Cricetulus griseus: one gene and its partners. The protein of the gene in region 1 purifies or fractionates together with the protein of each later gene. This does not show direct contact. Links are inferred from orthologs where the notes say so. Each region holds a gene or a part of one and is shown on either strand. Other genes may lie near its edges. The genes, in order: Tnip2, Tank and Map3k8.

What was found.
Region 2: the proteins of Tnip2 (region 1) and Tank purify together in Homo sapiens (affinity purification with mass spectrometry; 3 studies listed by BioGRID and IntAct, with this or other methods). This does not show direct contact. The link is inferred for Cricetulus griseus from reciprocal best matches to the Homo sapiens genes TNIP2 and TANK.
Region 3: the proteins of Tnip2 (region 1) and Map3k8 purify together in Homo sapiens (affinity purification with mass spectrometry; 3 studies listed by BioGRID and IntAct, with this or other methods). This does not show direct contact. The link is inferred for Cricetulus griseus from reciprocal best matches to the Homo sapiens genes TNIP2 and MAP3K8.

Annotation. Positions count from the first base shown.
Region 1 is NW_023276807.1:103,497,439-103,501,826, forward strand, and holds the start of Tnip2 (TNFAIP3-interacting protein 2), read right to left. Parts: upstream 2,886-4,388; 5' UTR 2,742-2,885; intron 2,637-2,741; exon of another isoform or gene 2,593-2,636; 5' UTR 2,548-2,592; coding exon 2,269-2,547; intron 1-2,268. UniProt on the Homo sapiens protein: Inhibits NF-kappa-B activation by blocking the interaction of RIPK1 with its downstream effector NEMO/IKBKG.
Region 2 is NC_048599.1:113,305,248-113,309,665, forward strand, and holds the start of Tank (TRAF family member-associated NF-kappa-B activator), read right to left. Parts: upstream 2,944-4,418; 5' UTR 2,832-2,943; intron 1-2,831.
Region 3 is NC_048596.1:209,943,157-209,946,745, forward strand, and holds the end of Map3k8 (mitogen-activated protein kinase kinase kinase 8), read left to right. Parts: intron 1-1,039; coding exon 1,040-1,192; intron 1,193-1,779; coding exon 1,780-2,026; intron 2,027-2,912; coding exon 2,913-3,043; downstream 3,044-3,589.

The DNA of each region.
Region 1 (4,388 bases):
AGACGAGGTAAACTCTACATTTCCCTTCTGCTCTATTTTACAACTCTCCTTCCAGAAAGAGGGAGAAGTGGAGTGGAAGACATCTGGATGCTCTTGGTGCTTTAAATAATACATATAGAAAACAATGACAATGTAATAGAAAGTAAATCTGTATAATAAGGGTCAACTCAACAATACCAAGAATATATGTCTTTGCAAAGGAAAAACAGGCAAGCCATGTGCAAAAAGCATGTGGGATTATTTTATTCTTGCCTTTATTTTTCAGATGTTCTGAATTTTACCATCAGAAAAAAAAATGCATTTTTTCCCTCTTAAATTTTGATGTGGCCAGAACTGGTGGCAAAGTCCTGTAATACCATCTACTTGGGAGACTAAGGCAGGAGGATCCAAAGTCAAGGCCTTCCTGGGATTCACAGTGAGTTTAAGGTCAGATTGTGTAACTTAGTGAGACCAGGTCTCAAACTAAAAAGTAAAAAGAGAACTGGAGATGCAGCTAAATGGTAGAGTACTTGCCTAGAATGTGTGAGGCTCTAAGTCAATCCCTAACACCAAAGGGAGTAGGAATAGGAGAAAGAAAGAAAAATCTAGCTGTGGTGGTGAAATCTTGGAAACAAACATTCTCCTTACAGGCAGGCTTACTTTCTTTGCTGGGAAAACCAGGATAGCTATGGACCAAATGCAGTAACATGCCAGTATGAATCCAAATGTGGGGGGAGGGTGTCTGATTTACAAATAACATTTATAAGAAAAACATTTCCCTTGGTTCAGTTTTGTATGCTTATGGTATCTCACAGAAGCCAAATAACACCAAATGACAAGGAGAACCAAAGAATTTACAAATTATCACATACTTGACAGGCTCTTCCTGTCACTTCTTGCAATATAATACTAAAAGCCACCAATCAAAGGCATGGGTCTTCTCTCTCAGAGCTCCATCCCTTGAACCCTTGCATCTCCCAGGTCCCTGGCGCCCCAAACAAGGTTCAGAAACCCACATTCTACAGAAGACCTCCCTAAGACAGAACACAATACACAAAACCTGCATTCCCACAACTCAACACACATACACACTGGAACCTACACACATTGTCAAAAAGCAATGCCTGTATGTCCTTGAGACGCTCTAGGCTCCATGCCTCAGAACCTATAGTGTCCCTTTAAACCCTGCACCCTCTGAACCCTGAACATTAGCCCTGCTCAGAACTCCATCTCCTTCAAACCAAGTGCCCTGATGTGTGAATAAGAACGGCCCCCATGGACTCATATATTTGAATGCTTAGTTGGGGGGATGGCACTATTTGAGAAGGATTAGGAGGTGTGGCTTTGTTGGAGGAACTGTGTCACTGGGGCTGGGCTTTCAGGTTTCAAAAGTCCACACCAAGCCCATTGTCTCTCTCTGCCTAGGGATCAGAATGTAGCTCTCAGCTACTACTCCAGCACCATGCCTGCTTTCGAGCAGCCATACTCCCCACCATGATAATAACCCCTCTAAATCTGTAATCAACCCCCTCCCATTGAAATGCTTTCTTTTATAAGAGTTGCTTTGGTCATGATATCTCTTGAAAGCAACAGAGCTGTGATGAAAACAGCTACACACCCCTTTGGGGTCTGGAGCACAGATTGGAGAAGCTAACTACCAACAGAACCATGTGTTCAAGACTACCTCAGTACCTCAAGCTCCACAGATCCCTGCATTCCAGGATAACCTCCTGCTCCTCAGATCTGCCACACAGAACTTCATGAGCAAGTTTACCTCAACAGTGCCCCTCAAAGTCGACAGACCCAGGGGGTCTCTCCCAAACTTACCTCCATTATATGTCCCTCGGAACTGTTCATAACCTGAGCCCCTGAGGACCGGGTACTTCTCAAATGTCCGCATCCCTAACACCCTGGTGCTCACCAGAAACCTGTGTCCCAGAGACACCTGCTCACCTCTGTGCGTTAAATGAATCTCCAACCGCTCAGGACCCTGGACTCCACATACTCTCGCCCTTCAGACCCCCCCTCAGGGTTCCCTGTGTCTCAGACCCCCGCGCCCTTCAGACCCTTTGAGTCTCAGGACCTCGTGCCCCCTCACAACCCTGCTCCCTTCAGACCCCCGCGTTCCCCCTAGACGCCCATGCCTCTGGACCTCACGCTCTTCAGACCCGCACCACACGCCTCATATCCTCGCACCCTCATATCATCAGCGCGACCATCAGGACCGGACTCGGGCTACACTCCAACAAGCTCCCGAGGCCTCCCGGGGCAGCAGCGCCCGCTCCGAACCTGGCGCAGCTGAGTCTCGGTGGCTCCTTCCTCCTGCCGCCGCAGCTGCTCACGGAAGCGCTCCACCTGATCCAGAAGCGCGTCCACGAGCGACGGCGCCGTGTCCCCTTCCAGAGCCTCTAGGCGGGTGCGGAGGCTCGCGATAAGGGCGTCGCGCGCGGCCAGCTGATCTTGCAGGCGCTGCAGCTGCTGGCCGGCCTCGTGGTACAGGCTACAGAGCGCGGCGGCCGCGCGCGGGGCACCGTCCTGTCTGCCAGTCCTTGCATCCCCAGACGACATGGCTGTGGACCTTCTCGGGGACCCCGGATCCTCGAACTTCTGCGCCTAGCGGGAGCAACAACCGACCTTCCCGGAACTTTTCCCGCCTCGCCCCGCCCACTCCCCCGGAGCCTAATCCGCCCCCACCCACAGTTGGCTCCGCCTCACTCACTGCCCGGAGTCTGACTCCGCCCCCTCCCACTCATCGGTCCTACCCTGTCTTGAGGCTTCCTTCTGGGGGCTATCCTAGGCCTACAGTCGCGGCGACCCTATTCCCTCCGTCTGTGAAATTTTCCCGGAGTCAGACCCAGTCTGCGACCAGGGTTTGGGGTTCGGTTTCCTCTGCCACAGCTGCTGAAGGAAAGCAAATAAATCAAATTACTTCAAACATTGGACGTGGGGTGTAGTTAAGGTTTCATTGGCTGGGCTCCTTCCTCTCCAGGGACTTGGCTTGCGTTTCGTCACGTAGGGACACTGAGCTCAGAGAGGACTTCCCATCCAGAATGCTTGCTGGGTCCCAGAGCCAGCCACCAGACCCCAGAGTACCCCTAAATTCGAGTTAGAACTGCCTTAGTGCTAGAAGCTGTTCTTAGAACAGAAGACAGGAGGGCACTATCGCTTTCCTTCCCACAGCTTCCATACAAACGCTGTCTTCCCTCTGGGAAGTGCTTCCTCCCCCAACCCCACCCCACCCCCACCCCCCCGCAGTGAGGATCTTCCAAAGGGCCTTGCTAAGGTCTCATGGGGGTCCCTTCATGTGAGGATGTGTTTCTCCTTCTTTGCTCAGTCTCCTGTGCTCAGCATCCTGTCTGTTCCCCTGGTGTGGTCCACAGACAAGGTCTGGCTGAGCCTGTAGAAACTCACCCACTTGCAGTATCAAACTATAAGCAAAGCTAGACCCTCCCTGCCAAGTATTTATGGGATGAACACTGGGAGTGGCACACCTGGCTTACCTATGGTCAGCTCCTTTTTAGTCCTCAGAGCCAAGACTCCTGTTCAGAAAAGATACTGTCTTCCCTACGTGGTAGGGGTGTTGTGGCACTAGAGAATGGGTGTGTCTGTTTCTTTTCTATTGCTGAGACAAAAATGCCACCACCAAGGCAGCTTAAAAGAGAAAGCATTTTAGCAGGGCAGTGGTAGCACATGCCTTTAATCTTAGCACTCAGGAGGCAGAGGCAGGTGGATCTATGTGAGAAACCCTGTCTCAAAAAAACAAAACAAATAAGCAAAACAACATTTAATTGGCCATGAAGAGTACATCTTGACTGACTGAGGCAGCAGCAGGATAAAGAGGAAGGGGCAGGGGAGGGCACCACACAAAAGAACCCTAGCCCAGAGCTGATTTGTGCTTTTAAGTCTTCACTGTTAGTGCCATATGTAGCCTGGGGTAAGTGCTTTTGATCCCAATTGTGAACTACAAAAATAAACACCAAACAACCCAGAAACTTCCAACACACTCTGGGTCATATGTGTTTGGAGTTCAAAAGCTTTGGTTTTAGGTAGGTACGTATGACTGAGGTAACCACCCTCTAAAATGGAGGTCTCTTCCCAGTATCCATGCATACAGCCCCCATACAAAAAGTAGTAGTACTTGATGTCTGTAACTGAGAGGCCGCTGGGGGAAATGGTGGTGGGAGACCGCTGTAGCAAAGCCATGAGACACATTTTGTCTATTGACTCAGCCAGTTTGTCCACTTCAGTGAAGGAACCAGTTTAGAACTAAATCATCTGGCCCCGGTGAGGTCTCTGAGAGATTGCAGGCCCAGCTCATATGTTGGCTTCCATCTCAGAGAAGTTCCTGTACCTTATTTCCCAGGTATACTGCTCCAAGGCGCCTAACAAACTGCAAAGTAACAAATGTA
Region 2 (4,418 bases), on another chromosome or scaffold:
GGAGGGGAAACCATGATCAAAATACATTGTATGAAAAAAATGTTTTCAAGGAAAGATTACTTTTCAAAAAAAATTGCTTCAAACGAAACTTAAATGGTGTGGAAGAAAACAGCACAAAATTTGCAAATAGAAGACATTGGAAAAGGTTGTAAAGAATGACTTGCAAGCAGGAAAGCCAAGGTCTATATTTTGGATGTATTCCTTAGACGTTTCAAGGAACAGACCATGTTCACGAAACTCTTGTTAGAATATGGAGCGTTTTGGCATTTTTTTCTCACTTTACTTTCTGAAAGTAAACTTTAGTGTAGAAACTCATCACTGATAGGTTCTGTAAAATGAAAATATAGATGAATTTGTCTTATGAATATGAATGTGAAAATTCTCAGTAAATCACAAACATTTGCTTTCCAGTATGTATTTTCTTAATGTAAACTAGATACAAGATAATCAATTTGGACACACATTTTGCATACCCTCTTTGGATGTAACTTTCGAAAGCTGTTTGCAGGAAGCATATGAACAGCTGCTTTGTTTATAGATCTGGTTGCTCTGCCTGGATAGGGCTCCTTGGCTTACAACAACATTGTTTTCATTCTTTTCTGTTAGTTTGAGCTGTGAACTGAATTGTGAAGCCAAAATGATAGAAGAGAGGCGTCTAAGCATGTGGATTGAAGAGAAAAAGGAAATGTGTAGGCTTGGTTTGGTTTGATCAACCAATTTATTATTTTCATCTGAGAAATAACAAAATACGTTTTCTATTTATAAATCAGCTCAGTCACAGAAACACAGCAGCACCCTGATTTCTGCTAGGTCTTTTAAAAAAGCAGATCACTGCCTCATTAGAAATGCTAAAATATGACAGTTGTCTCTAATGTTACCAAAGACACTGAGTATTGTTTAACATTTATATTTTTTATTAAGTGCACCCTTAATAAAGCAAGATATATTTTTAATGATAAAGCATTTCCCTCAAGCCAAGAGCCAATGTCGTGGGTTTTTTTTTGGTTGTTGCTGTTGTTTTTTCATATTAACCACTAGGGAAATTCCCCTGAGATCAGAAATATAACAGTTGACTACTTTCTCCTCTGTTACGAAGCCCTGATCCACCAATTCTATCTAGTTGGTGTGGTGAGAAAACAAAAAGGAAGAAGCATGTCCAAGCATTCTTTTTGATCTAGAAATCACAGGTAAGTTATGTAATTTAGAAAAAACAAGATATCGATAAATGACCAGATAAAATTATGAAATCAAGATGTTACCAGTAGTTAAAACACACCTGAAAGAACATTCTCACTGGGATAATTCCCATGCTGTGTTCATAAAGGAGCAGACAAAGCAAACTGGCTTGGAATACATTCTACTATTTATATCTACAACGTGTAATGCAAAGGACCCCAGATGTTTACCAAAGCCTCAATATATAGCAAGAGAGGATGTTCACAGACGGGGAAGGTTTTTTACTGCACGGACAATCATTTCCCTTAATGTGACTGCACACATTTTCTAAAATTCCAACCAGAATTTTTCCCCAGGGGAATTTTAGTGATTTGTTTTGAGTCATCCTGGTGGCCATAGTTGAAAATGTTTAAGAGCTCTAGAACCCCCGCTGGCTTCTGGGCACACATTTAGGCACAATGAGTTCACATACAGTTCCACATCCCCCAGAGGCAGAGTAGTATGTTACCTATATCCTTACACATGCAACTGTACTCCTAGGGAGACCAAAGAGATGGCAGTGGAGACAGTTTCCAGGAATGATATGATCATTCTGTAACTTGGATAAAGTCATTTTCTCTTTTCCTCATTCTACTGCAGCTTGGGTAAAACATCCTAAGCATAGTTTGAATATTGTGAGAGGGCAGGACAGTGGTGGTAAAAAGCCAGGGAAAATGAACTGATGTGAGTTTATATTTAAGTCTTGTCTAACTATGTCACTGAATTACTACCACTGAAAATATTGGATCATTTTCCTCTAGCAGACACTTACTGTCTAAAAACTATCAATATGACAATACTGATAACAGTTCTTGATATTTAATCTAGGATTATCCTTACGAAAATATTATATAATCTTTAATATTAATGAAAATAAAGGGCTTGTTGGTAACAAAGTAAGACTTGATTACTATAATTAGAATTCCTTATAAAGCTAATAATTGATGTCATAAAATATTCATCATCATGTATTTCTTATGAGAATAAAAGTAAGTTAAGTTAATATTTGAATAGACACATTTGGTCATGCTGAAATTGATTTTTTAAAAGTATAAGCAAAAAGTATGACTACATATGCTTTTAATTTACTTCCACCTTAGTAAGCTAACTTAGGTCAAATATCTCTCAGTCTTATGGCATAAAAAAATCACTTCTTGAGAAGACTTACATATCAGATACAAACTTTTAAATTCATTTCAATTAAAGACATAAAAAATTCTATGTTAGGGGGAGGCTGGGCATTGGTGACACACACCTTTAATCCCAGCACTCGGGAGGCAGAGACAGGTGGATCTCTGTGAGTTCGAGGCCAGCCTGGTCTCCAGAACGAGTGCCAGGGTAGGCTCCAAAGCTACACAAAGAAACCCTGTCTCGAAGGAAAAAAAAAAAAGTTAGGGGGAAAGAAAAAGAGTCACAGTGTTTTAAAGTTTCCTTGGGTCTTGGCTTTTTTGAAGGCCAGATTTCTAACTGTGTCAGTGATGACCTAGGCACCACTGACTTGTGTCTGGAGCTGGTTAGCTGGCTGGTGCAGGAGTGGAACAGATCTTGCCATACTGAAGGCATCCCAACCACCTTGCTATGCTAAGAATTAATAGGAATTAGGAAGATTTGATTACCTCGTTTCCAGGTTACACGACTCCCTTCATAGACTACTTTTCTTTAAAGATGTAGGCAGGTACACGTTCTGGAAGCTGTTTTCACAGGCTCTGCAATGCTGCCCAAACTGTCCTGAGCTCTCCCTTGTGTTGAACTGGGGACTTCCACTAAAAATCCCCTGACTTGAAGACTTCCTTATTTGTAGCTATCAACAGCCAATCATGGCAAGATATTGAAATGAAGCAAAAACTACCAGAAAATATTCTGAAACCACCCGTGACTATAACTCTGGCTTCCTTTTGAAGCAATGATATTTTACCTGAATAGTTAAGGCATTAAAAAAAATTAGAAACTACAAACATGAATTTTTTTGGAAGAAGTATTTTCCATGTAAAAAGTTTTAAAAGTCAGCTTATTTGAAAATGCCATTTAGTCTTTGAGCCACATTTGACCCCAAACCATTGTATTTATAAGTAACAGGCAAAACTCATATTTGAGTATAATCTGAGTATATTTTTCTTTGCTTTCTGACTTACAGAGGTCACTTGGATGAAACCTAGTGAAAAAATAAGGTATGGCTTCAGATTCCAGAGTTTGAATATAAACCGTGGTAAGAAAGGTGAAGCAAAGAAGACTCTTCAGACAGAATTTCTAGTTTGAGACATAAGTCTCTGGTTACATAGATGAGCATATGTTCCAACACACCAGGGGAATTTCTCTCAGGCCACGTGGAACTAAGCTGTTAGTTTTACAAGGAAACGGAAGGCAGCAGTATTTGGACATTTTTCATTGTTATAAAATGTTAGAGTTGGAAATTTAGACAGCTTCTGTTCCATTTCCCTTTTCTTACAGATGAGTAAACAGGGGAGGTAAATGTTCAATGTCACAAAGTTAGAAGCAACAGTCGCTCTAAGTGACCTGAATTTAAGTGCAATGTCATATTTACTGCATTATGCTCTCCCATGGGAAGTCCAGGAGCTGGAACAAGGCTGGATCTAGTGGGAAGTTGCCCTGCTGAGTTAGGAAGTCTGTGGAGGCATCCCCCAGAATTCCAGTTAATAGAAACTAAAATTTACACTTTCTGATTTGTAGTCTAGTTTCTTTGCTACTTTAAAGCCCTACCATCTCATTACATATTACAAGCATGTTGGATGTAATGTTGCATATGGTGGAATTATCCTCTAAAAATATGTTTTTGAAGTTTCTAAAGTGCCGATTAAGAGTGTGTTTAAAACTGTTCTATTTACCCATTAAATGCACAGTGAAGCATTTCTTTCACATTATGTCCTTATAACAATCTTACTCATGAAATATCAGATGTTAAACATGCTTTTGTCCAATGGAAAACTAGAATCTAACTGTAAATACAACAAAGTGAAATATCAAAAACTTAAGATAGTATTGGTGTGAGGAAATTTATTCCTTATGAATTTACAGTTATGAAGCAAGCTTTTAAAAGCTTTTTTGGGAAAGTGGTGCTTCCATATTGACTTGGAAATACTCCAATTTTTTGTTGTCTCCATCCTGTAACCCTCTCTCTATTATTTACTTTGGCCATTGGGTTTGGCTGAGACCCAAACTTCTGGAAACTGGCTATTCCCAGTATA
Region 3 (3,589 bases), on another chromosome or scaffold:
TCCTGTTCCTCCACTTACTCTTTTTTCCTTCACCTGGTCTTGGAACATCTGTGTGGTGTTGTTGTGAGTTATCCTGAGGATGGGACTGAAGCATAAACAGAGGGTTCATTAGCCTGAAAGACAGCTAGCAGGGTATTCTCAGTGTGGCTGTGTTTTAAATGTGGCCTGTCACATGAGGTCATATGTGGAAATTTCCACTTGTGGCATCATCCTGCTCAAAAGCTTCCAGTTTTGGAGTCCTTTGTACCCTTAAATTAGAGCTATTCAGCCTGTGTTGTTAACTAGGATACTAACACCGTATGTCTGTGCCAGCCCTGACTACAGATTATTGGTAGCCGGGGCTTTCTTTTTTCCTCTCCCATCTTAAATTTAGAAAAATAAAGTTTAGAAAATCACCTTACTTACTCAACATCGACTTATGAAATCAAATGCAAATTATGCTGTATTTTTTGTTAATTTATTATTTTTTCAGACAAGTTCTCAGTCAGTCTGTAGCCCAGGCTATCCTTGAGCTTTGGCAATACTCTTGCTTCAGCCTCAGAACTTATACTCTGTTGTAGAGGACTTTGATGGTTAGTCACTGGGATACTTGTCAGGTATAAATGACTCATTAAAGTCATTTCCCCAACTTTATGCTTTATTTTTGCAGGCTCTTCCCTTCTAAACCATTGACGTAAATACCCTGCAGGATTCTGCCACCTTTAGGCAATTAAGTGATAAATGGGAGAAGTATATGTGTAGTCTCATTTAAGTCTGAGCAGAATTGGTGATTTAATAGACAGTTGTATATAACTGATGAACATCTACAGAACTCAGATCAGTGGAAATCAGTTCAAGCCCTTTGAGGTCAGACCTGCTGGGTGGGAAAGAGGTGTTCTAGAGAACATCTTAGGATTCTCCTTGGCTTGAGGGATATTGCAGTAGCATTCCCTCTAGAGCATGCAGCAAATGTCATGAAGGCAAAGGAGCCAGCTTCTAGAACCGGCTAGGGAAAAGGAAGCCAGACAAATGATGCTTTCCTTGTCTTTTTTTTTTTCAGATATACATGAGCCCCGAGGTGATTCTGTGCAGGGGCCATTCCACAAAAGCGGACATCTACAGCCTTGGAGCTACTCTCATCCACATGCAGACAGGCACCCCACCCTGGGTGAAGCGCTACCCTCGATCGGCCTATCCCTCCTACCTGTACATAGTAAGTGAGGGTCAGCTGGGCTGGGGTGCAGTGAGTCCCACCATCCCAAAAGCACACCAAAGAGAGGAGATGATGGTAGAATGGAGACCCACAGAGGTGGTTGCAATTCCATTATTAAAATGAAAGTCTATTTTAATGGAAGCTGACTGAAATGAGTAGATATAATTTGTATGCTATCCCATTATACTTACGTGTGGTCAAACACACTTAGAAGCATCAGAGTCCTACAACTCTGTCAGCCAAGGAAAGTATATGAGTTCTTTAAGATGCCTTTTTTAAAAAAGAAAATATGTTATTACTCTCTGTTGCCCCCAAACCTCCTTCCTTCTGCCCAATGGCATGTCCTAGAGTAGAGTGTGAGAACAAGACAGAGGCAGCCGTTTCCCTGTTGCAGCCATCTCTGGTGCCCCCATGAGAAGCTGTCACTGCTAATTCAAACACAGCATGTACCTTTTGCCATTAAACCAAACTTGGTTTAACCGCTGCTAGGAAGTTGAAGGGGTCATGCGGTGGGGTGTAGGTCACTCCCCACTGTCTGAGCATCTGTCTCTATGCCATCCATGCTGACAGAACTGGTTTGTTGACAGATCCACAAGCAGGCACCTCCCCTGGAAGACATTGCTGGTGACTGCAGTCCAGGCATGAGGGAGCTGATAGAAACCGCCCTGGAGAGGAACCCCAACCACCGTCCAACAGCAGCAGACCTACTGAAACATGAAGCTTTGAATCCCCCTAGAGAGGACCAGCCACGATGTCAGAGCCTGGACTCTGCCCTCTTTGAACGGAAGAGGCTGCTGAGCAGGAAGGAGCTGGAACTTCCTGAGAACATTGCTGGTAGGCCACCCTGCTGTGTGCATGTGGGTGTATGCCTGTGTGCCTTTGCAGCCACTGGCTTCCCTCCTCCTGTCCACAGAAACCTCTAATGTGGTCACTTGTGGGGGGGGGGGATGTGGTGAAGGATGAAGGCCAGGCTTGGTGGCACACTCCTGTAGTCCCAACACTTGGATAGGGCAGTTAGAAGTTCAAGATCAGCCTCAATTACTTGAAACCCTGTCTCAAAAGAAAAATGTGGGCATGATGGTCCAGACAGGAAGACCACAAGATTAAGGCATGCCTGGGTTACAGAGTGAGTTCAAGGCTACTCTAGGCAGCTTAGTGAGACTGTCTTGAAATAAAAAGGAAAACAGATGCTGGGGTTGTAACTCAGACACAGAACACTTGCCTGGCATGGCACAAGGCCTGAGTTCTGTCACCTGCATTGCACACACAGTGCGCGAATGTGTGTGCACACATGCACGTGCGCACGCGCGCGCGCGCGCGCGCGCACACACACACACACACACACACACACACACACACACACACACACTCCCTTGGGAGGTCAAGATAGGAAGATTGCCCAGATAATAACACAAACTCAGAGGTCAAACCTGGAGTGCCTGTTTTTCTTGCCTACTTTCTCAGTATCTAGTAGGAAAAAATGAGGTACTGAAGAACATGCCAAAGTTTCTACCCAATTCCTTGTCTTAGTTGGCCATTGGAACCCTGTGATCTATGTGCTATTCCATTAAGGCTATCTGTGACAGCCAGAGCTGGGCTACTGTCTCTTGAGCCCCTCCGGGTTATTTCTTCACAGAAGGGACATATAGTTGTTACTTCCTGGGCCTCCCTGTCATTTTTGTCATTGGTTTTTCTCATTGTTTCCATGTTCCTTCTGCAGACTCTTCATGCACGGGTAGCACGGAGGAGTCTGAAGCGCTGCGGAGACAGCGTTCCCTCTACATAGACCTCGGTGCTCTGGCTGGCTACTTCAATATTGTTCGGGGGCCACCAACCCTGGAATATGGCTGATGGATGGCTTTGTTGGCAACAAACTAGGATGGACTTTTCTCTCTTGGGTGTTGGTTTTTCAGACCCTGCACAGAAATCTCTGGATAGTGAATTGTACCCATTTTTAGGGGGGCAGTGAGGCCTCTAGTGATTCGTGAATGTCCCTGTAATGCCCTCCTTTGTGAAGCTACTCTGGCATGTCCTAGGGCCCCAAGGTTCTCATTTCTCAGGTGGTGGGACTAGACAGGAGGGAGCGAAGAGCTAAGGGAAGGATCAATTTTGGTGACAAGTTTATTCACTATGCACTTTGCCAGACATGTTAAAAGTAGCCCTCACAAGATATTAACCTAAAACTCACATTCTTGATTCTTATTTAAGTGTGGGAGCTTCATTCAACTCAGAAGACATGTTCTGTGTATATATTGGTGTGTATTATAACTCTTTGAGCCCTGGTGGGTAGACTCCAGTGTAAGTTTAATTCATTATATTTTGGGTGAATAGAACAACTTTAATGTTACAGCAATATACTGGACTAGTGCCTTACAAATGGCCGATTCACTCAGAGCC